Arabidopsis thaliana: one gene and its partners. The protein of the gene in region 1 interacts with the protein of each later gene in a pairwise test. Each region holds a gene or a part of one and is shown on either strand. Other genes may lie near its edges.

Region 1 (4,279 bases):
AGCTACTTACCATGCATGTACAAGAAATACGCATTTACACAAGGAGTGATAACAGCTATACTAATTTATTGAGAGAGTATTGCACTCTATTAAATATATCACATACACCATTATTTTTTCAATATCAGCATAAGATTTATAAATACATAATGCTTTATCTATGTTTATACTCTAAATTCTTTATATATATAAAGCCTTTGAAATAATATTTTAAAATTTACTAATCGATCCCAAAAATTACAGGATAGTTCTGTGTTAATATCGTTGTTGTAATCGTAAATCAAATTCAAATCCCATGAACTGTGCGGATCATAGTAATGTTATTTGATCTACCGAATTCAAATTCGGCAAGAAACACTAAACCCGTGGCTAATCTGATCATACCGACACTAATGATCACATCAACCACATAACTTCCAATTGACTACAATATGGAGTTATGGATGCCAATTTCAATTTGGGCTTATGGATGCCAATTTGGGCTTATTAGATCCAGACCGGCTTACCATTCTCGATGTTGGAGGTTTTAATCGCCAAACTGCACTATTGTCTTTTACAGCAACATTGGCGTGATAAGCTTGGTCAGGTAGAAGAGTCGTATTGGCGTAATTACATATCAAAGTAACAAATTAATAATCATTATAGATTAACGATCATTAATTAAACTCATAGTTACAATGCATAAAAACTAGGACAAGCCATTAAATCCAGAAAACACAGGAATCTGCTACAGCAAAGACATACATTCTCTACACTCAAACCACCTCACAGATGCTCTGCATTATTTAAGAAAGACAACACACGAAAGTAAAACAGAGAGCATCTTAAGTCCGAACCATATGACAAGAGAAACATATTTACTCAGGTACAAATTTCTTCCTGAGCTCAGAGACGAATTCAGTAACCTTCTCAGGATCAGGCAAGGACTTAGCCACGCTCTCCCTCTGCAAACACTTCTTAACCCAAGCAATCAGTTTCGGAACCTCAGATTCGATACTGAAGTTAGCAAACTTCTCGTATGCTGGAAACCATGTGTAGAATCCAATCAACGCAATGTCTACATAGCCAAAGTCATCGCCACTAAAGTAAGGTTTGTCTCCAAGCTCAGATTCAAGAGTCTTGAGTATCTCAATGAAATCCTTCTTCCCTGCCTCTTGTTCCTCACCCTTTGTCGCCCACACCTTCCTCTGAGCATCATACAGCTGAAACATTGCACAGAGTAACATAACACCAAGCTATGTCAGAACTCAGTCGAACCCAAACAAAGCTCAAAGATGATGTCTACAAAGCAAAACCAGTCCTAGAGACCCCCAAATTGCAAAAGAAACATATCATCAAACTATCTAAGATGAACCCAAACAAAGCTCAAAGATGATATCTACTAGCGAAACTAGTATGTAAAAACCTCAAATTGCACAAGTAACATAACATTAAACTATCTAAGAAGACAAACCCTGACTAGCTCAGAGATGAGTCCACAAGAAAAATCTGAAATTTGGAGGTGAGATCTCTAACCCTAACAACTACAAACTCAAGTAATATTATAACATCAGACAAACCCATACAAGCTCAAAGACGAGTCTACAAGCAAAACCCTAAATTTGAGCCAATCACTAGCAAACTCAACTAAAGTTTCAATTTTTATGAAATCCCAAGTTCAATTTCAACATTATTCAATCAAGGGCACAAAGGAAATAAGATACCTTCTTGTCAATGAAATCAGCCCAGAACCTAGCTTGAGCTCTCAGGTAAGGATCAGAAGGAAGGATAGGGTTCTTGTGAGACCAGACCTCGTCAATGTACTGAACCTGGATGATAGATTCGTTAACCGGTTTACCATTGTGGATGAGAACAGGAATCTTCTTGTGAATCGGATTCATCTGGAGAAGCAAAGGACTCTTGTTCCTTAGATCTTCTTCTCTGTACTCAAATTCAACACCTTTCTCCCTCAATGCGATCCTTGTCCTCATCCCGAACATACTCGGCCAGAAATCAAGAAGAATCACCTCGTTCGCCATTGTTACGATCGCTAAAGCTCACAAAGAGATTTTTTTTTGTAAGTGTTCGTCTTTCTCGATTTGTTTGGTTGGGACACTACCTGTAAGGGTTTAGGTAATTTATAGATGAGAATATTTATGATACAATAATGGATTGTGCTGACTCTAGTCGTTACGTCACACCACTCTTTAAAAACATGTGGCCAGATTTTAAAGCTTTTTAAAGTAATAATTTATAATTACAGTATTTTCTTTTTACGTAACATATCTTCATTCGCCTTTTTTTTATCTGTTGACCATTATAGTGTTTTATATAGTAACTTGCAAATATTCGTGTGGACTCTATGATTGAAAAAAGAAAAAAAATCGTCTGAAATCTATTATCATAGTAGCAAATTTGGATTTTGGATGTTAAAGGAAATTATGGATTTCAGTTGACCAGAAACCATAATGGATTTCTAAATCAAGATTTTAGATTTCTTAGCACTGCGTTTAATTATTTTAAAAGTTGATGGAAAAGATTATTTTGTTGTAAGAAAATAACTGGATGGATTAACACAGTTTTAAATTATGTGAACAATTAATTTGACTAATGAGTATTGACGTTTTATTTCGGCACAATGTATCATTACCTGATGAAAATATCATTTATTTATAGAAGAAATGATTCATATTGAAACTTAGTTGAAAAACGTGCAAAAAAATACAGAGGACTTAGAAAAGCGAGCCAAATTTCTAGAAAGCTGTGTAGGTTGAAGAGGTGGAAGATACGTTCACGTTACCAGAATTAACTGGAAATTTTCGAGATATTTCGATGGAACTGTAGAGATTGTGTTACGTCAATAATTGTATTTATACAATTGACGTGACCACATGATCTCGAGAAGCTTGGCGACATTGATCACGAAAGCGAGAGAAGATCCTGGTTCAGTATTGGTTCTATCTTATTTTTGTTTTGGTCATGGACTTATGGTGAATTGGGCCTATATTTTACAAAAAACAATGGATCTGAACCGGGCTTCGAAAAACAGTTTTTCTTATTTGAAAACCCATTAATAAAAACAAAATCATAAGAGCGAGCAAGAAAAAAATCATACCTGACCTTTCAGAACTCCTGTGGCCAAACAAAATGATCTTCTTATTTTTAAATTCTCTTATTTTTAATTCCAAAAGATATAAACTCGCGCCAAAAATTTATGTAACTGATGCTTTAGTATCTTTAACATAGCTAGATCTATTATAAACCTATAATAGACTAGTTAACAAATTTAGCCAAATTGGATATGTCACCAGAGAAAGCAAAATCAGCTACATTGGGTATTTATATTTCGTCGAGTAATATACGGGATTTTTTTCAGGCAGATAATGTGATCTATTCATTATAGACATATATGATTGTTTCATAAGAAGAAACTAGCTCAACATACTCATATCTGCGTTGGGTTCGATATCTCACGACACGTAGCAACATACTCATGTCATAACATGATACATCTTACAATATACACAAAATAGTTGACTAAAAAAAAGCACACACACATTAGGATAAGAAGATACTTAAATTGTTATTTTTCATTGATGATTTCGAATGTGTATCTGTATCTGGAAGTCTCTATAGTGTGTAGACTTTGATCTAGAAACATCGAATGGACCCTACGCACTGTATTACGTGGCATTTTAGTTTCAACCTACAAACTCGTTACTTGATTTTGTATATTCTAATGTTTTTGAGGCGTCAAATTCCGAGACATCAACGTATTTTTCGGCGAATATACTATTTAAAAGTCATGTACAAAAATACGTATGATCTTGATGAGATTTTCCCTAGTATGATTACATATTTGATAAAAACTATTTATTTAGAAAAAAGACACAGCAGTATGCACGTTATAAATCAAAAAATGGTCTTTTTCCATGTCAAAAAAAAAAGATAGTTCCCGGAAAAAAAGAGTGGCCATGAAGTGTATTACATGTTCAAAGATTAGAATCAATCGATTGGCTACTGTGAAATGCGAGTGCTTATGTATACGCTTACGTGTATGCACTTTAGAACCAATAAGAGTAGGATAAAAGATCACAAGTCAAAACTGTGAGATGTTTCCCGTTTGCTTAAAGTAGAAATCGCAACAACCTCAACGTAAATTCATGAATAAAATAAGCTGTCAACAAGTTAAACCCATAAATGCATCTTTTTGGTTTATAATTAAATTGCATAAATAAAGTTTTGACTTGTTTATTTTAATGAACTGAATTAGTTTGGACCTTTAAATTCTATTTCTAAT
Region 2 (5,690 bases), on another chromosome or scaffold:
AGACAGCCTCAAAGCCAAATATAGCTACCTAACATTTAGTACAGTCACAAGCTACTCACAAAACAACCATATTTCTCTATTTCACTAGAGCTTAGACCATAAAGCACACGGATTAAAGGAAAACTAATGAGAAGAGTTATGTTAAAGAGTGATAATAAACTCAGCAACATAACCAGTATTACTCCAGAAGGTCTAAATTAATATGGTTCTCAGGGTTTAATACAACTTTAGAAGCAAAGTTCATTTAAAAAGATTGTATTGAATTTACCTTCCAACAGTTCCAAGGTCTCTATCTTATCTATGTTTTGTTTGTTGTTCTCACTTCATCGTAGAGTGAATTTGAAGAAGCAAACTGGCGAAATGACAAACCAACCTCTGCTTAAACCCTGCAGATCAAATCAATCATATGAAATTATAAATCACTACCTACCAAAGGAAAAAGGATAAACACAGAACCAATATGAGACTAATATTCAAGCTGATGTGAATGCTTGACCATGGCATTATTGGTATGAATGATGGGATTGTAAGAGCATTCACAAGTCACAATGATATATTCATTTGATTGAAAATGAGAATATAAGAAACTGCAGAATAACAATGAAGACGAAATCATTCAGAAGAACAAAAGATGATAATTAATAAATATTGATTAGCTAACCAACCTGATCGATGTAAAAACACTCTCCCGGGCAAACCTCTCGGCGTTTTGCCTCTAAATTGATTCTTAACGACAATAAAATGGGTAACATACAAAAGATACAGATTCCTTCACGGTTTCAAGACAAGTCCGGAGCTCGAGAATGAGAAGAGGGGAAAAAGGCTTTAGAGTGACTGAGAGAGAGAGTCGTAGGAGAGGAGAAGAGAGTAATAAATGACAGAGAAGGGTGAGCCTAGGGAAGTTCAAAGGACATAGATTTACGTAAATACCCTCATGGTAAAGGGACATTTACACCGACATTGCTACTTTACTCCAAGAAACGTCGAAAAGGAAGTAGGGGTGTTCTCGGTATGTCAGGGAATAAGATGTTCAGACAGAACGCAAAATCACACGGTTTGGGTTGGGAATGAAACTACTTGGAAGCTGTTATTGCGTACGTACGCGAAGACCGGTCCGTCCGGTATGAGTGAGATAGATGAAAGACACGTGGCAAATTAAAAAAAAAGTGTAACCATTTCCCACATTCTCCTGAAAACGCTTTCTATTTGTTAACCCTTCTTTAGTTCCGTATTTAACTGCCTTGATGTTTATTTAATCAAACGAGAATTATGTAAGTTCATTCTCTATAAGTTCTTTTGTTTTTAAATAAGACTCTTAAATGTTGAACAAAAATAAAATAAGACTCTTAAATTATTTGTCAAGTTGCATAAAAGACAGCTGAATAGCAGTATTAGCTTTCACTAAATACGTGAAGCAACTCAATAAGTACAGTTGTCCTATCGATGAAAGCAAAATCAAGATTGAAAATTGCTAAGTCCAAAGTTTGAATCATCTTATAAGCAATAAGTAAACCAAATTAGTCTTGGTGGGCTTTAAATGCAAACTTTATAAATATAGAAATCGTGAGAATACATCATTCCAGTTATATTTGTACGAGTTATGAATACAATGCACTGATGCAGTGATGGAGTGGCATATGCATGTAATTTTATCAGTTAGTACAAAGTGAGTTAATTGTCCGTGTTTAACGGAAAGTAAAAAGCTTGAGAGACAATTCGATTTCAATTTCAAACCAAGAATTGAGAGCTATGAGCCTATGAGAGTATGGATTTGATAAAAAGGATTTTCTCTATTCACGACTATTCTTGATTTTTTTATTATGTATTAACGACTATTCACATACTATAAAGTTGCATATAATTTATTTACCTTATTTTGAAACAGACAAGAAAAAGGTATTGATGCGATTGGACATGTCGTAGAAGTGCTTCTGATCTGATCGGCTTTTTTTTTTTTGTTTCTTTACTTTAGTTTTGTCTTTTAGTATTCAAGACTTCTAGTGGCCCAGTGGCAGTGAGTATAAAGGATTTAGCACTCACTAAATGGGCGTATTGAAAGGTAAGAACCTTAATGGGCCTATTATAAGGCCCATAAAAAACACGAGTAACCCAATAAGGTAACTTTATGTTCGTTACACAATTTCTTTTCTTACTTTCAAAAAAGAAAAGAAAAAAATCTGTTGTCATCTGCAAATTGGTTTCATTCTATCAGTTGGTGTTGTGGTGTGTTGGAAGATGTGAATCGCCTCTACTAGGGTTCGATTCCAACATAAAATTGTACTTTTGGAAGATACAGAGAAAGAGATGGGCAAATCTCAGATTCTTCTAAACGCTGAGAGCTTTACTTGTTCTTCTTTCAATACTTTCTTCACTTTATGGATCTTCTTTACTCTTCACTCCTTTCCATTTCAAGCTCAAGCTGCTCCTTCTGGTAACTTTACCATACTTAACTTCGTTGCTTTGATCTATCTGCTTCACTCACTTTCTTAGTGAATTCACTCTTCAATTTCTGGTTTTTTATGTCAATTGTTGTAAATTGAATTTAGGTTCCTTGATTAAGCACATGTCATCGGTTCTCAAGTGGACTACTGGATCATCCTCTAAATTATCCCAATCAGGTAAATTCTCAATTAGTACGACTGAATTTGGTCGCCTTGATTGTTTGTTGTTCATAAACTTGGTTTTGATGTTTCTTTCTCTAACTGCTACTTGTGGTGCAGACACTAATGTTCTTCAGTTTGAGAATGGTTACTTGGTCGAAACTGTTGTGGAAGGAAACGATATTGGTGTTGTTCCTTACAAGATTCGAGTTTCTGATGATGGAGAACTTTATGCTGTTGATGAACTTAATAGCAACATCATGAAAATCACTCCTCCCTTGTCTCAGTGTAAAACTTCGTTCTCCACAAGTTCTCTTCTTTATGACTTAGTTTTTGCAGTTTTAAGTACATCCAATCATATACACATGCCATCGCAGATTATACTTGATACACTAACGATACTACTGTGATCTTTTGATGATCTTGGCTTGTAGCATTACATTTTCTATTTTACTTCAATATTCTGGTTCTTTATACTATATATGAAACATTTGATTTTCTCTTTCTTTTTTAGTGTTGGAGGTTTTTATGACTTTGTTTATAATCTATGTACTTGTGGGCAGACAGCAGGGGAAGATTGGTGGCTGGATCTTTTCAAGGAAAAACAGGGCATGCAGATGGAAAACCGAGTGAGGCTCGTTTTAACCATCCGAGAGGCGTTACAATGGATGACAAAGGGAACGTTTATGTCGCTGATACTTTGAATCTCGCCATCCGAAAGATTGGTGATTCAGGTATACAAGTTTTCTATAGGTTTTACTTACATCAGCACTCAAAAACTGAAATGGTTGCTTGTTGTTGAAAAATATAATTAAACTGAGAAGAATTGTGTTCTTAAGAGTCTGAAACATTTTTGTTACAGGTGTTACTACGATAGCTGGGGGAAAATCAAATATAGCTGGGTATAGAGATGGGCCAAGTGAGGATGCAAAGTTCTCAAATGATTTTGATGTCGTATATGTTCGGCCTACCTGCTCGTTGCTGGTCATCGATAGAGGAAATGCGGCTCTTCGCCAAATCTCTCTCAGTGAAGAGGACTGTGACTATCAAGATGATAGCTCAATCTCTCTAACTGGTAAGAAGTCAAAAACACCTCTTCCCACTACATAGATCATTTTGCATACACTCTGTTTAGGGGTGGATTTGAGAGTGTTAACAGAAGATCATTGCGTGCTTACATTCGGTGCAGATATACTCTTGGTTATTGGTGCTGTTCTCATTGGTTATGCTACTTGTATGCTCCAGCAGGGCTTTGGAAATTCTTTCTTCTCAAAGACGGTAAATTTCTATCTCTTCTCTTTCGTGCCTTTTCGCTTCTCATCAACCATATGCTACAAACAACAACAATTTCTGTTTTATCTTACAGCAGGTAGGATCAGAAACCAGCTATGAAGAAGAGCATCCAGGAAAAGAGAAACTCTCCCGGCCTGTCCATGAGAAAACAATAACCAAGGAAGAACCTGGTTGGCCATCATTTGGGCAACTCCTTACTGATCTCTGCAAACTTGCTCTCGAGTTTATAACCAGCCACCTAGTTCCAGCCCGATTCCAAACCAACCCCAATCTAAGGCCATTAAAAGATAGACTCATAATGCCTGAAGACGAACAAGAACCACCTCGAGTCCAAAGGCATACTGCCCCAGCACCAATCTCAGAATCCCGACATGCTCACTTACCTAAAGCTGATGATAGTTACCCTGAACATAAGACGCCAAAGCTAAGATCAAGTAGTGTAATGAAGGACCCTACTTTGTCATCATCCAAGCACCATCGGACATCATCAAAACGGCAGGACTATGCTCAGTTCTATGCCTCGGGAGAGGTTGCCCAACCGAAGATCCATAAAGAGCGGTCAAGGCGTCGTCATAGAGATAAAACAACCGAGACAGAACCAAAGCCAACACCATCAGATACGGTGAAGCCTGTGGAGTACAGTAATAGTTCAAAGTTTGATCATTACAACATGAGGAGCAGCAAGTATGGACCTGAAACTCCATTTCGATTCTAGAAAGTAAAATCACATACTCATTAGAACCCTTTTCTGAGTATGTTGTGCCCTTTCTTTTGTCCTTGGTTTGAGGAGATTCCTTATGTTTTCTTTTTGTTAGTTACTAAGAAAATCTTATTACACAGATGATGAAAAAGAGGTTAAAGGCTTTTCTTGTAACGAAGGATTGATGAATCATGACTGAAAATCTGATGTATTATGAACTTATACGATCACAAGAACAGGCTCTTCGTTACTAACTTGCTATTAACACATTCTTGCTTGCTATATATAGATCTTTGGCTGCTAGAGATAGGTTCCTTGCTAACCATGGTCCTAAGAAAGTATATATAATTGTAAAGAATCTTAGTCAAAAAAAAAAAAAGGAAAAAAAAATGAAGGGCCCTACCGGGTTCGAACCGGTGACCTCTTGATCTGCAGTCAAATGCTCTACCACTGAGCTAAGGACCCTTTTGTTCAACTCATGATACATTCATTACAAAAATATTAGGTGCTCATGATAGAACAGAGTAAAATCTATGTGTTTGGCATGGAGATAAAGAGAGTACGAATACGAATATGATTTTTTAAGATCGAATTTGATAATAACTTGACTTCATTCATACGAATATGATTTTTTAAGATCGAATTTGATAATAACTTGACTTCATTCAGTTCCATTTTTATAGAATTATTGTAGAGATTTGGTTGAAACTTTAATAATTGGAATGTGCTTTGTTGACAAACTATCGATCAGTTGAAAAACGACCTTACTAAATGAATTAGCTATAGAAGTTTTGATCTATACAGTTTCATATTGTGTTCACTTACACTACACGGAGGTAGGGTTTAGATTAATTATTTTTCTTGATCATTCGATTTCTTTAATTCTAATAACCTATGTATGATTACAAAATTCAGAAACGGACCTTTTATTCAGATTTAAATGATCAATCACAATAACAAATGCTATAATTGATGTTTCCGTATTTTATTTCTTTTACTCAACCATATAATTGTAAAGAATCTCATTCCAAGTATCCGGTACCCCAGAGAGACACCAGTGGCTGCAGTCACCGGAGGAGTTTCGCCCGCCTAGACCG
Region 3 (4,421 bases), on another chromosome or scaffold:
GTCCCCTAACCAAGAACACAGTTATAGGGGGTTGCGGGTAATTTCAGATACGTCTCCGACAGACACTATAGACTCATAGTTAGTTTCTATATTATTATTGATTTCATGGTCATCTAGTGCATATACCCTTCTTTTAAATTAACCAGGTGAATCCAATCCAAAATCTAAACTAATCCCTTTAACAAAAAAAAAAAAAAATCTATACTGAACCCAAATTCCATAGAAATCTAGATTTTGTTGCTACTATAAAAATCTACTGGTGAACAAAGATAATTGAAATTACAATGAAAGGGCTAGAAAAGTCTGCCAACAATACTATTTATTTGCTTATCTTTTCTTTAACAATACATACTAGTTATCCTAAAACGACGAACAAACATCATTTAGAATTTAAAATCAAACACAAATATTTTAAAATATTCATTTTCTCGGAAGAGTACGAAGATTGTTTAATCGAAGATAATATTTAATGAAATTAATTTCTCAAAACGAGAAATTCTTATTTCCATTTTTAAAAGTTATTCTATGTATTATTCATATCATGCTTATGCATCTTGGGTCCAATCTTGATTTGTACAACGGCGTTTCGAGATCATCGTTAGCCATTTCCTCTTTTAGACGACGTAGTCATCATGAGGGAGATGTTCTGTACCGTTGAGATACTCCAACACTTTCTTCATCATTGGCCTATCTTCTGGAGATCGTCTCACGCAGAGAAGTCCTGTTTTCAGAACCAATAACACTTCTTCAGAGACTAAATTCTTTTTCTTGATTCTTTTGTCGCATCTCCTTAAGAGATTTCCGCTCTTGACCCCTCGAAGCACCCAGTTCACTAAACTGATCTCTACCGGTTCCTTTGTCGGCTCTATGGCTCTCCTTCCACAAACAATCTCCATGATTAACACTCCAAATTCAAACACATCTGTGGCACATGTAGCCTTTCCCGTGTTGACTAGTTCTGGTGCAACGTGTCCCGTAGTGCTGTGTCTGCTTCCATGTCCATAGTCTCCTAGTCGAGCGTTTAGCTCTCCGTCCAAAAGAACGTTACTTGCTTTGACATTTCCGTGTATGAGAGGTTTTTGAACCTCAGCGTGAAGATGTTGAAGTGCTGACGCAATACCCTTTATAATACAAAACCGGTGTACCCATTTGAGAACTGGTAGGTCGTTGCTGAACAAGAACCGGTCTAGGCTTCTATTGATAACATACTCGTAAACAAGATAGATCTCGTTTCCTTTGCTGCAGTAACCATGTAGATCAACAAGATTTCTTTGTTTTACCTTGGAGATTGCATCGATCTCGGCTATTAGGGCTGTCTTTTCTTGCCTTGTGTTGCAAGTAATTCTCTTTACGGCAATTATCTCTGTAGGAGCAAGTTGCCCTTTATAAAAACTCCCAGAGTTTCCCTCTCCCAAAAGCTTAGAGTTGTCAAAACCTCCCGTCGCGCTGGAAATCGTCTGGTGGGAGAATTTCCGTGCGCCTCCGGTGAAGTTTTCCGTTCTACGAAAAAAGCAAACCGCTAAGAAGCTTAAGATCAAGATTCCAAATATTGCTGATGCAGCAATGATTATGATCAGCATCGTGTTACTCGAATTTTTCATGACTGAAACCGGAGGACTCGGGGATGGAGACAATGGAGGTAGCGGGTCTGGAAGAGAGGGAAGCTTCGTGATATCAAAGTCTGATGCTTTCCCCTCGATGCTGAAGCTCCAGCCTAGCACAAAATGTGAGCTCGTGACAGTTCCCGTGGCTGCAGAGAATCCAACATAATTTTCTTCAGAGATGATCCCAGAAAGATTTAGTTTTCTAGAGAGAAGAGGCAACTTTGGCTTCGGACGATCTAGAGGAGCCAATGTGACATTGAGCATCGTCTCAGTTGCGTTGTATTCGATCCAGACTCTTATTGGTTTCCCACTCGCCAGCCTCAAACTTATGTTCTTTGCCTCTCGGTCATCAAAATATTCAGCGGAGGTAGACTCAATGGAGATCACTCCGTTGAGGTCTATACCAACATGGTTATCATCAATATCGTTCAACTCAACGGCCTGCACAGTGTCGAATTCAACTGCAAGAATGCAATTCAAGGAGTTTCCATTGTTGGAGGTATTGAATAGGCCTAGATAATTGCTTGGTAAGGCCCCGCTAAAGTCCAGCGAGGGTGAAATGACAAAAGCTAAGCCGTGGCCTGGTGCGCCAGGTCCTGGAGTGATGGCAAAGACGAAGCTTGTGGGGAAAGATACCAAATTTGAGGAGTTGGGGTTTAAGAATGGTATGGGAAAGCCATGAAAAGCTTGACCTATTTGCCTCATCGAAGTGTTTGTCAACTCCAAGTGGCCACTCGGGTGGATCTTGGACGAGCCAGACTTGAGGAGATTAGCTTCCAGAAAGCCATGGTTAAGAAATTTGGTTTGTTGTTGACTTGAGACACAAGAAAAGTATAGTAGGAAGATTATTGATACAGCTATCGATTTATAGGTATTAGCCATTGATAGTTTTCAGATTTTGATGTTAGCTATGTTCAATGCTATCTTTTTATAGCTTCAAAGAGCTCAAGACACATTCATATTCAAATTTTTTGTTTATGCTGACAAGTTAAACAAACTTAGTTGAAGATTTGACTTTCTATATAAACTGCTAAACAAACCCTTTTTTTTTTTGCAAACCTTTATATTAGTATCCTTGAAAAATTCTTTCGAACTTTCCTCCACAATTTCTTCCTAATAAAATTGATTGCAAAATAAACAAGAAAATGGTTACATATTTTCTGTATAATTTAAATGTGATTACAAAGTCATAATGGATCAAAAATTATTGAACAAAAAAAACGTCATCTTTTAGCTAGCCTTTAGGGTGAATCACCTTTTTTTTTGTTACACATATAATTTTGACTGCCTAACGATCGACGTTTATCCACTATGACTATGTGATACAAACAAATAGAAAGGTTTCTCTTGAGTCTTGTAATTGTGCAATTATTTGTATTAGGAAGAAATTGTGGAGGAAACTTGCAATAATTATCAACTATATGTCGCATAAAAGGCGTTGCTATGTTAGGCTTTTAGCCACTATATATCCAATATAAAAATAAAAAATGGATGAACAATTGAACATTCCTTGAAATTAAAGTGTTAACTTTAAATATGAATATTTATAATAAAAAAATATCCTAACTTTTTTTTATTATTATTATAAAGACATACGTTGTCAAACTAAGAAATTCAATTTGTAAACGAAGAAGAAGAATACTTGACCATTCAAATCTTAGTCTTGTTCTCACTGAAAACTTGTACAAAAATAAATAATTACAAAATCTAGAGAAGTTTTCATGCAAAATTGTATATGTAGATGTAGTCAGATAGAGTTCCATATATTCTATAAACGAAGAAATCACAACAATACAATGTACAAATTAACATCATTAGATTAGAGTCAAAGAATTTTTAAAAATATATCAACTTTCTGAGAAGAGTACAAAGATTGTTTACGAACGAAGAATTCTCAAAACATAAAATAATTAGTTTCCATTTTACAAAAATGATCTTAGGTAATCTGCTTATATTGGTTAAAGTATTTCTATTTTCTAACCAAAACTTAGGCAATTTATTTTGTCACCAACATACAATATTATATTAACAATCTATATATTACTAATCTATATGTTTTTTTCTTTTTGGTCTAAGGTAAACTTTGTGATTTAATTGTAGTATTGTACCTCTTCAATAGATACTCCGTACTCGCATGTATTAATAGAGCATCACATTTATCGACTTCTCTATGGTTAGTTTATGCATCTACTAAGTTTTTTATGGACTTTTGTTTTTGTTGTTCATTTATCGAAATAAAGCAAAAAACTGCAACGATCCAGTTAATCCGCAAAAATTAATGAATTAGAGTTTTTTTTTTTTCTCTTCTTCTTGTTGCATTTTCTCCTTTTTTTTTCTATTTTTTCTAATGATATTAACTAATATCTTCCCTACTAAAATATTGAAATGCTTTATTTTATTTTTTAAATAAAGAAATTGATTATGATTTTTTTTTTGTTACAGTTTATAAATGTGTCTAATAATTTATGGATATTTTATAAAGTTTATAAGATATATATACAGTAATTTAAAATTTGCCGCAATGATGACGTCGTCATCGTCACTAAACCAATCAGAACCATGCTTCGCATAAAGGTGACTCTGACTCATTTGAAAAGCTGAAACATAAACTCTGCTCTGCATAAATGGTGCTTGACATGGCTTCTCACTTGTACACAAATCCACCTCAAAACCTTCACTTTATTTCTTCTTCTTCTTCCCTTAAACCTCATTTATGCCTCTCTTTCAAACGCATAAACCCTAAACACAAATCCTCTTCCTCTTCCGTCTTCGTCCCTTACGCATCACAGAGTTCCATTGCCATTACCTCCAAGGAAA
Region 4 (5,574 bases), on another chromosome or scaffold:
AGTTATAATCTTTGTATATGCAGTAGTTAATCAGCTAACTATTCAATGATTACCCTTAACAACCAAATTGTTATTTTTTTGAAACTTAATGAAAGTTTCTTTAGGGTTATATATGAATATATCTCTTCCTTTGAAGTATTCAAGTATGTTTTAGGAATGAAGAATAAGTCCACTATATATAAAGGACTGATACTCATCGCCATTTTTTTAAAAATGTAATACAAGACCTTATTATGATATTTACCAGATCAATCTCTTTCCTTCTTTGAATTATTCTTCTGATGATGACCAGGTACATTTTGATACTGCTAAAATTTCTTGAAGAATATTAAAATACTAAAAATACAAAATTGGTACATTTGAAAGTAAACAGAAAAAAGTGATTAAAGGGAAAGTCTTGCTGTTGGAAGTCAATCGGGATATCTCAAAGGCTTACATCAGAAATTCTAACCAACTACAACTACTTTTTTAATCTTTCAGCTGTGGTATCTATAATTGCACCAACTCAAAAAGAAAAATTCTATATAAACTATAATCTTCTTTTATTTTTACATAAATTTAGGTTTGAGATCAGTTTTTTTAGTTTTTGGTTAACTTAAATTTGGATTCAGTTTTTGTTTTAGATAGTATACACAAATAATGATCCATTTGATCTCGGAATAAATGATTTCGGTTTGATCTGGTTAGGCAAACTTGTGCAGAAGTATAACATTTTCATTGTCATCAATCTTTTTCGTCTAGCGATCAACTAACAAACAAGAAACACATGTACTCACTACTCATAATATAGATATATAATCAACTCTACGCGAGATCCAACAAAATTTTTAAAAAGATGAGACAAATACAACGAGTATATAAATCCTAGTTTCAGTTTCCTAACGGCTAGTTTTCTTTTGTTCTGAACTTCTGAGGGTTATATCAAGCGCAAAAACCTTTAACTGGTGTTATATTTCTTCTTAAGAGCTCTCAACCTTTTCGTACTGCGGAAGTTCTGGAGGTGGTGGTTGCGTTTGTGAATTTTTCTTGTTGTTCAGTAAGTTTTTCGCATATAAAGACCCGAAAACGATGACCTGATGGAGCAAACTTGGTTAGTCAAGAATCAAAAAGTATAATATAAAGTTCCGAACAATGTAGAAGGAACCGAAACTGTACCGATCCGATACATTGCTCCCAGCTAAGAGGATGAGAAAACCAAATGCATGAGAGCATGATGCTTGCAAGCTTTATTAAAAGACAGATTAGTCGGATTAGAAATCGGACGGTGTTGTCAGTTATGAAGACAGATTATTCAGACTGAGATCGAGTTTTCTTTTTACCTGTCTGGTCGTCATGATTGCAGCAAATGTTAGAGCACCAAATGTCCTAATTGTGTAAGAAATGAAGAACTGGCTCGCTGTTGCAACCTGCACATTATTAGTCTCTGGTAAGTTCAGTGGTAAACAAAGACAAGACAGGAAGATTGTATCATGAGACGTCATCAAAGCCTTTTGTTTCGGATTATAGATTTATGGATTTGTTTTATGAATATACATGCATGCATCTTGTGGATCTTAAAACTAATTTGGTCGAAACGACATGGCAATGCATTTACTAAGTAGAAGAATAGAGGAAGCTTAAAACTTACTGTGGAAAGCAGAGCGATGTCGAGTAAACAATCCCTATGCAGAGAAACAAAATCTACAGCTGGTAGTAGATGCCCTTGCAATATAAGTCCTACATCAACCATAAGATTTACATAATGGTAAGAACAGAGAATGATTGACCACATTGATCTTCTTTTTGAGGGTCTAAGCATTGAGGTCTTTTATGCAGAAGAGATGAATTCTGACTATGAGACACATTCAGAAACAGAGGAAACTTAAAATAGTTGCGACTAATGACATGTTGATATCACTAACATAAAACCTCACTTTAGCCTAGTAGTCATCAGCTGAAGATTGAATCAATTTTCATTCCAGAGGTCTAACAGTCAAAATAAACTGAACTCAGATATATAACTAAAGTAAACAAATAAAGAGAAAAAAAGAAGAGAAAAGTCTTCTTCCTAAAGAATTTTCTTAGGACCAGCCACCCACCAGGGAAAACGATTAATGGTCCAATGTCCATAGAAAATGACAGTGACAGAAAATGATGCGACTCTAACAGTATAGGTTCCAGAAACAAATAAGATTCTCACCAGTGAAACTCAAAACACAAGAACAAAGTGTTGTGTAGAATATTTGGTTATGTATCTCCATGTTATATCCTTTAAAGAGCTTGTCTTGGAATGTACTTGTAAAGCCGTCAAACCTGTTAGTGAGCCAATTACCATATACACAATCAATATTCCTTGTTTTAAAACAAGACAACAAAAATTTCAGTATATTCGCATAAACAATAAAACAAGTAACACGGATACACATACCCAAGATAACCAGCCATAAGGGAAACACCCCAAACAGTATTTTCCCTTCCCTTATTGTATGGACTAACATCATCTCCTGCCTACAAATCAGGTTTACATAAACAAACATGATGTTCATGGTAAATATGATAGTCTAACTAACCGAAGCTTTTGATTGGGTATAGAGGTTTATACCGGAAAGAGAATAAAGACAGAGCAGCCAAGGGTCACCAGAAAAGCCACTAAATAGTCAAAGCCCTTATACTTCTTCTGCATAATGAGCGTTCCCCACACCTATATAGAGCACAAATATAAGAATGGTGGATGCTAAACTCAAAGGCATGAGTTTCCAGCTCTGAAAAACTTACCATTACTGGTATCATTTTGGCACACTTTGCAAGAGTTTGGACAGGGAAGCTCACATACTTGAGAGCCTGGAGGCATTACAGATAGCAAAAAGCAATAAGCAGCAAAAAGTAGGCATACAAAGTTCATACATTAAAATAAAAATCCAACCTCATATTGACATGTTGTAGTTAAGATGTTAGTCACTGATATAAGGCAATATTTATAAACCGGAGCTACAGGATCCAAAACTTTCTTGCTTGCCTACAAATTAAAAAAGAAAAGCCAAAAAGGGTTACATAAAACTTTAGCAAATAAGTATAAACACAAAGTTGGTGTTTTTAGCTAGTTTACCAGTAAAGCACCAGCAGAGACAGCTGATGTAGTAAGCCGATTGCAGAAAACAAGAAACAAAGAGTGCTTAAAAAACTCCTTGTTCACTCCATAAGGAACTCTCATTATCTTCTCCTACAAAACCACAATCACAAAACAAAAGAAATTTGTAAGAAAGGGGAGACATTTCACAGAGAATGGTATCATGAAAACAAGACAGACCTGAAGAACACCGTAGATTACAAGAGTAGACATAATGCCGGAAACTGCGAATACACCTTTCCATAATTTGTTCTCTTTCACTCCTCCGTTTACTAATTCTGGCTCAGCCATGGACCATCCACCTCTGAACACAAAACCCACCATTAATGAACCAAATCTAATCACACAATACAAGCTCCGATTTTGTAATGTAAGCGTGAGAAATCACAGTGACTAGTGACTGTAACACACCTTTGAGCTCGGAGATTTCAAGCTAGACGACGGATTGGTAAGAGTACAACGGCTGATCCGGTGAGATCGGAGAAAAATTGTCTCTGTCTCTCTCTCACGCTCCTTTTGTAAACCGTTCTCCGGCGACTTCTCCGTCTGGATCCGATTTGCTCCTCCACCGTCCTCTTTCTCTCAATTCCTTTATTTCCGCCCTTTTTAAAGTTGTGTTCGTTGATGTTTTCCAAGTATAGGCCACGTCAGCAATAAGACAAAGGTCAAAACCTTCTAAAGGACCCAGAGGGTTTCCGTTTATGTGATAGTTCTTCATGATCAACATGTGTGGCCCATGAGAAACACCAGTTAAGTTAGTACGATGACGACGAAAGAAGATAAATCCTAAACTCGTGGTCGTGATTTTTTTCCCTTCCAACCTTAAAAATATGTCTGAAATTTTAAAATTTTCAGATTTTGGTTTTGTGTTGAGAACAACTCCAAAGAGACGAGAAGCAGCGAATCGTACGAGCAGAGAGATATATGTTTCATTACGTCGATGATGGATTCTGCTTTATATCATCCTCGAATCTTTTTCGCTCACAGCTTCATCAATGGCTTGTATAGTTCTCCTAGGTTTGCTAATACTTGCTGGAGATTGGTTAGTCGTTCAAGTTGGGAGATCAAGGCTAGTGAGAATAGTGATCGCAATGTGTTCGATGAAAATCCTGTTAGGAAAACCGACGGGTCGTTGTTTGATTCTGCTTCGTTTGAGACAGTTGACGCGGAAATCACGCCTGAGACTGATGATTTCTTCGTGAGTGACGCAGAGGGTGATCCAGATTGTCCTACTCAAGGTTATTCCTCTATTGAACTTGCTCTTCAAGCTCTACGCAAAGGAAAGGTTTGTTCTTTGACGATTTTCTTGAAGACCAGTGATTATGATGATCTGTTTTTACAGTTGTATAGATTTGGTCTTACTAAAAAATTGTCACTTATGTTTCAGTTTGTGATCGTTGTTGACGATGAAACCGGAGATGTTGAAGGGAATCTGATCATGGCTGCAACTCTTACGAGTCCAAAAGACATAGCTTTTCTGATTAAGAATGGTTCAGGTATTGTCTCAGTTGGTATGAAGAAAGAAAACCTTGAAAGATTAAGCCTTACACTTATGTCACCTGAAATGGAAGACGAAGATTCCTCTGCTCCAACTTTCACCATCACTGTGGTAACGATTTGGATATAGTTCTCAAGAGGGTTTCATTGTGTCTATGTTCTGATAAAGTTCTTGGTTACAGGATGCAAAATCTGGAACATCAACTGGAGTATCAGCTTCAGACAGGGCGATGACGGTTCTTGCACTTTCGTCTCTCGATGCTAAACCAGATGATTTCAGGAGGCCTGGTCATGTATTCCCTCTCAAGTACAGAGATGGTGGAGTTTTAAGGAGAGCTGGTCACACCGAAGCTTCAGTGGATCTAATGATATTGGCTGGTTTACGTCCCCTCTCTGTTCTTTCAGCTATTCTTGATCAAGAAGATGGGTCTATGGCTTCACTGCCGTATATGAAAAAGCTTGCTACGGAACATGATATCCCCATTGTATCGTTGACTGATTTAATCAGGTTAGAGAAGAAGAAGACCATGTATTGAAAAGATAGAAAACACTGGATACAAGTAATTATCTGAAGTTTTATATACTTGTAGATATCGAAGAAAGCGAGATAAGCTTGTTGAGAGAATCACAGTGTCTCGTTTGCCTACCAAATGGGGTCTTTTCCAAGCTTATTGTTATCGATCTAAACTCGATGGAACCGAAAATATCGCCCTCGTTAAGGTACAAAATCACGACTTACTTCTAAATCTTGATCAATGTGCATTGGTGTCATCTCAGAACAACCAACTGGATATTCGAATTTAAGACCAGTCTTGTGTTTGTTTCTGTCTGAATCGTGACCAGGGAAACGTTGGAAATGGTGAGGACATTCTGGTGCGAGTGCATTCAGAGTGCTTGACAGGAGACATTTTTGGCTCAGCACGGTGTGACTGTGGAAACCAATTGGACTTAGCCATGGAGTTAATCGAGAA

The links.
Region 2: the proteins of GSTU19 (region 1) and AT3G14860 interact in a protein complementation assay, tested with the Arabidopsis thaliana proteins (one large-scale study listed by BioGRID).
Region 3: the proteins of GSTU19 (region 1) and AT2G29250 interact in a protein complementation assay, tested with the Arabidopsis thaliana proteins (one large-scale study listed by BioGRID).
Region 4: the proteins of GSTU19 (region 1) and AT5G59740 interact in a protein complementation assay, tested with the Arabidopsis thaliana proteins (one large-scale study listed by BioGRID).

Annotation. Positions count from the first base shown.
Region 1 is NC_003070.9:29,485,802-29,490,080, forward strand, and holds GSTU19 (glutathione S-transferase TAU 19), read right to left. Parts: upstream 2,207-4,279; 5' UTR 2,019-2,206; coding exon 1,704-2,018; intron 1,203-1,703; coding exon 858-1,202; 3' UTR 586-857; downstream 1-585. UniProt on the Arabidopsis thaliana protein: Catalyzes the glutathionylation of 12-oxophytodienoate (OPDA). In vitro, possesses glutathione S-transferase activity toward 1-chloro-2,4-dinitrobenzene (CDNB) and benzyl isothiocyanate (BITC), and glutathione peroxidase activity toward cumene hydroperoxide.
Region 2 is NC_003074.8:4,997,509-5,003,198, reverse strand, and holds AT3G14860 (NHL domain-containing protein), read left to right. Parts: upstream 1-2,152; 5' UTR 2,153-2,304; coding exon 2,305-2,431; intron 2,432-2,546; coding exon 2,547-2,618; intron 2,619-2,720; coding exon 2,721-2,888; intron 2,889-3,163; coding exon 3,164-3,334; intron 3,335-3,462; coding exon 3,463-3,675; intron 3,676-3,789; coding exon 3,790-3,878; intron 3,879-3,966; coding exon 3,967-4,608; 3' UTR 4,609-4,895; downstream 4,896-5,690. Other genes in the region: TBL41 (TRICHOME BIREFRINGENCE-LIKE 41), read right to left, coding at 5,588-5,690.
Region 3 is NC_003071.7:12,578,295-12,582,715, forward strand, and holds AT2G29250 (Concanavalin A-like lectin protein kinase family protein), read right to left. Parts: upstream 2,487-4,421; coding exon 615-2,486; downstream 1-614. Other genes in the region: AT2G29260 (NAD(P)-binding Rossmann-fold superfamily protein), read left to right, coding at 4,229-4,421.
Region 4 is NC_003076.8:24,069,351-24,074,924, forward strand, and holds AT5G59740 (UDP-N-acetylglucosamine (UAA) transporter family), read right to left. Parts: upstream 3,737-5,574; 5' UTR 3,518-3,736; intron 3,411-3,517; 5' UTR 3,398-3,410; coding exon 3,287-3,397; intron 3,200-3,286; coding exon 3,086-3,199; intron 2,996-3,085; coding exon 2,903-2,995; intron 2,821-2,902; coding exon 2,755-2,820; intron 2,681-2,754; coding exon 2,582-2,680; intron 2,488-2,581; coding exon 2,408-2,487; intron 2,293-2,407; coding exon 2,180-2,292; intron 1,717-2,179; coding exon 1,628-1,716; intron 1,407-1,627; coding exon 1,320-1,406; intron 1,225-1,319; coding exon 1,156-1,224; intron 1,074-1,155; coding exon 960-1,073; 3' UTR 699-959; downstream 1-698. Other genes in the region: RIBA3 (monofunctional riboflavin biosynthesis protein RIBA 3), read left to right, coding at 4,047-4,715, 4,786-5,111, 5,194-5,323, 5,447-5,574. UniProt on the Arabidopsis thaliana protein: Sugar transporter involved in the transport of nucleotide-sugars from cytoplasm into the Golgi and/or the endoplasmic reticulum.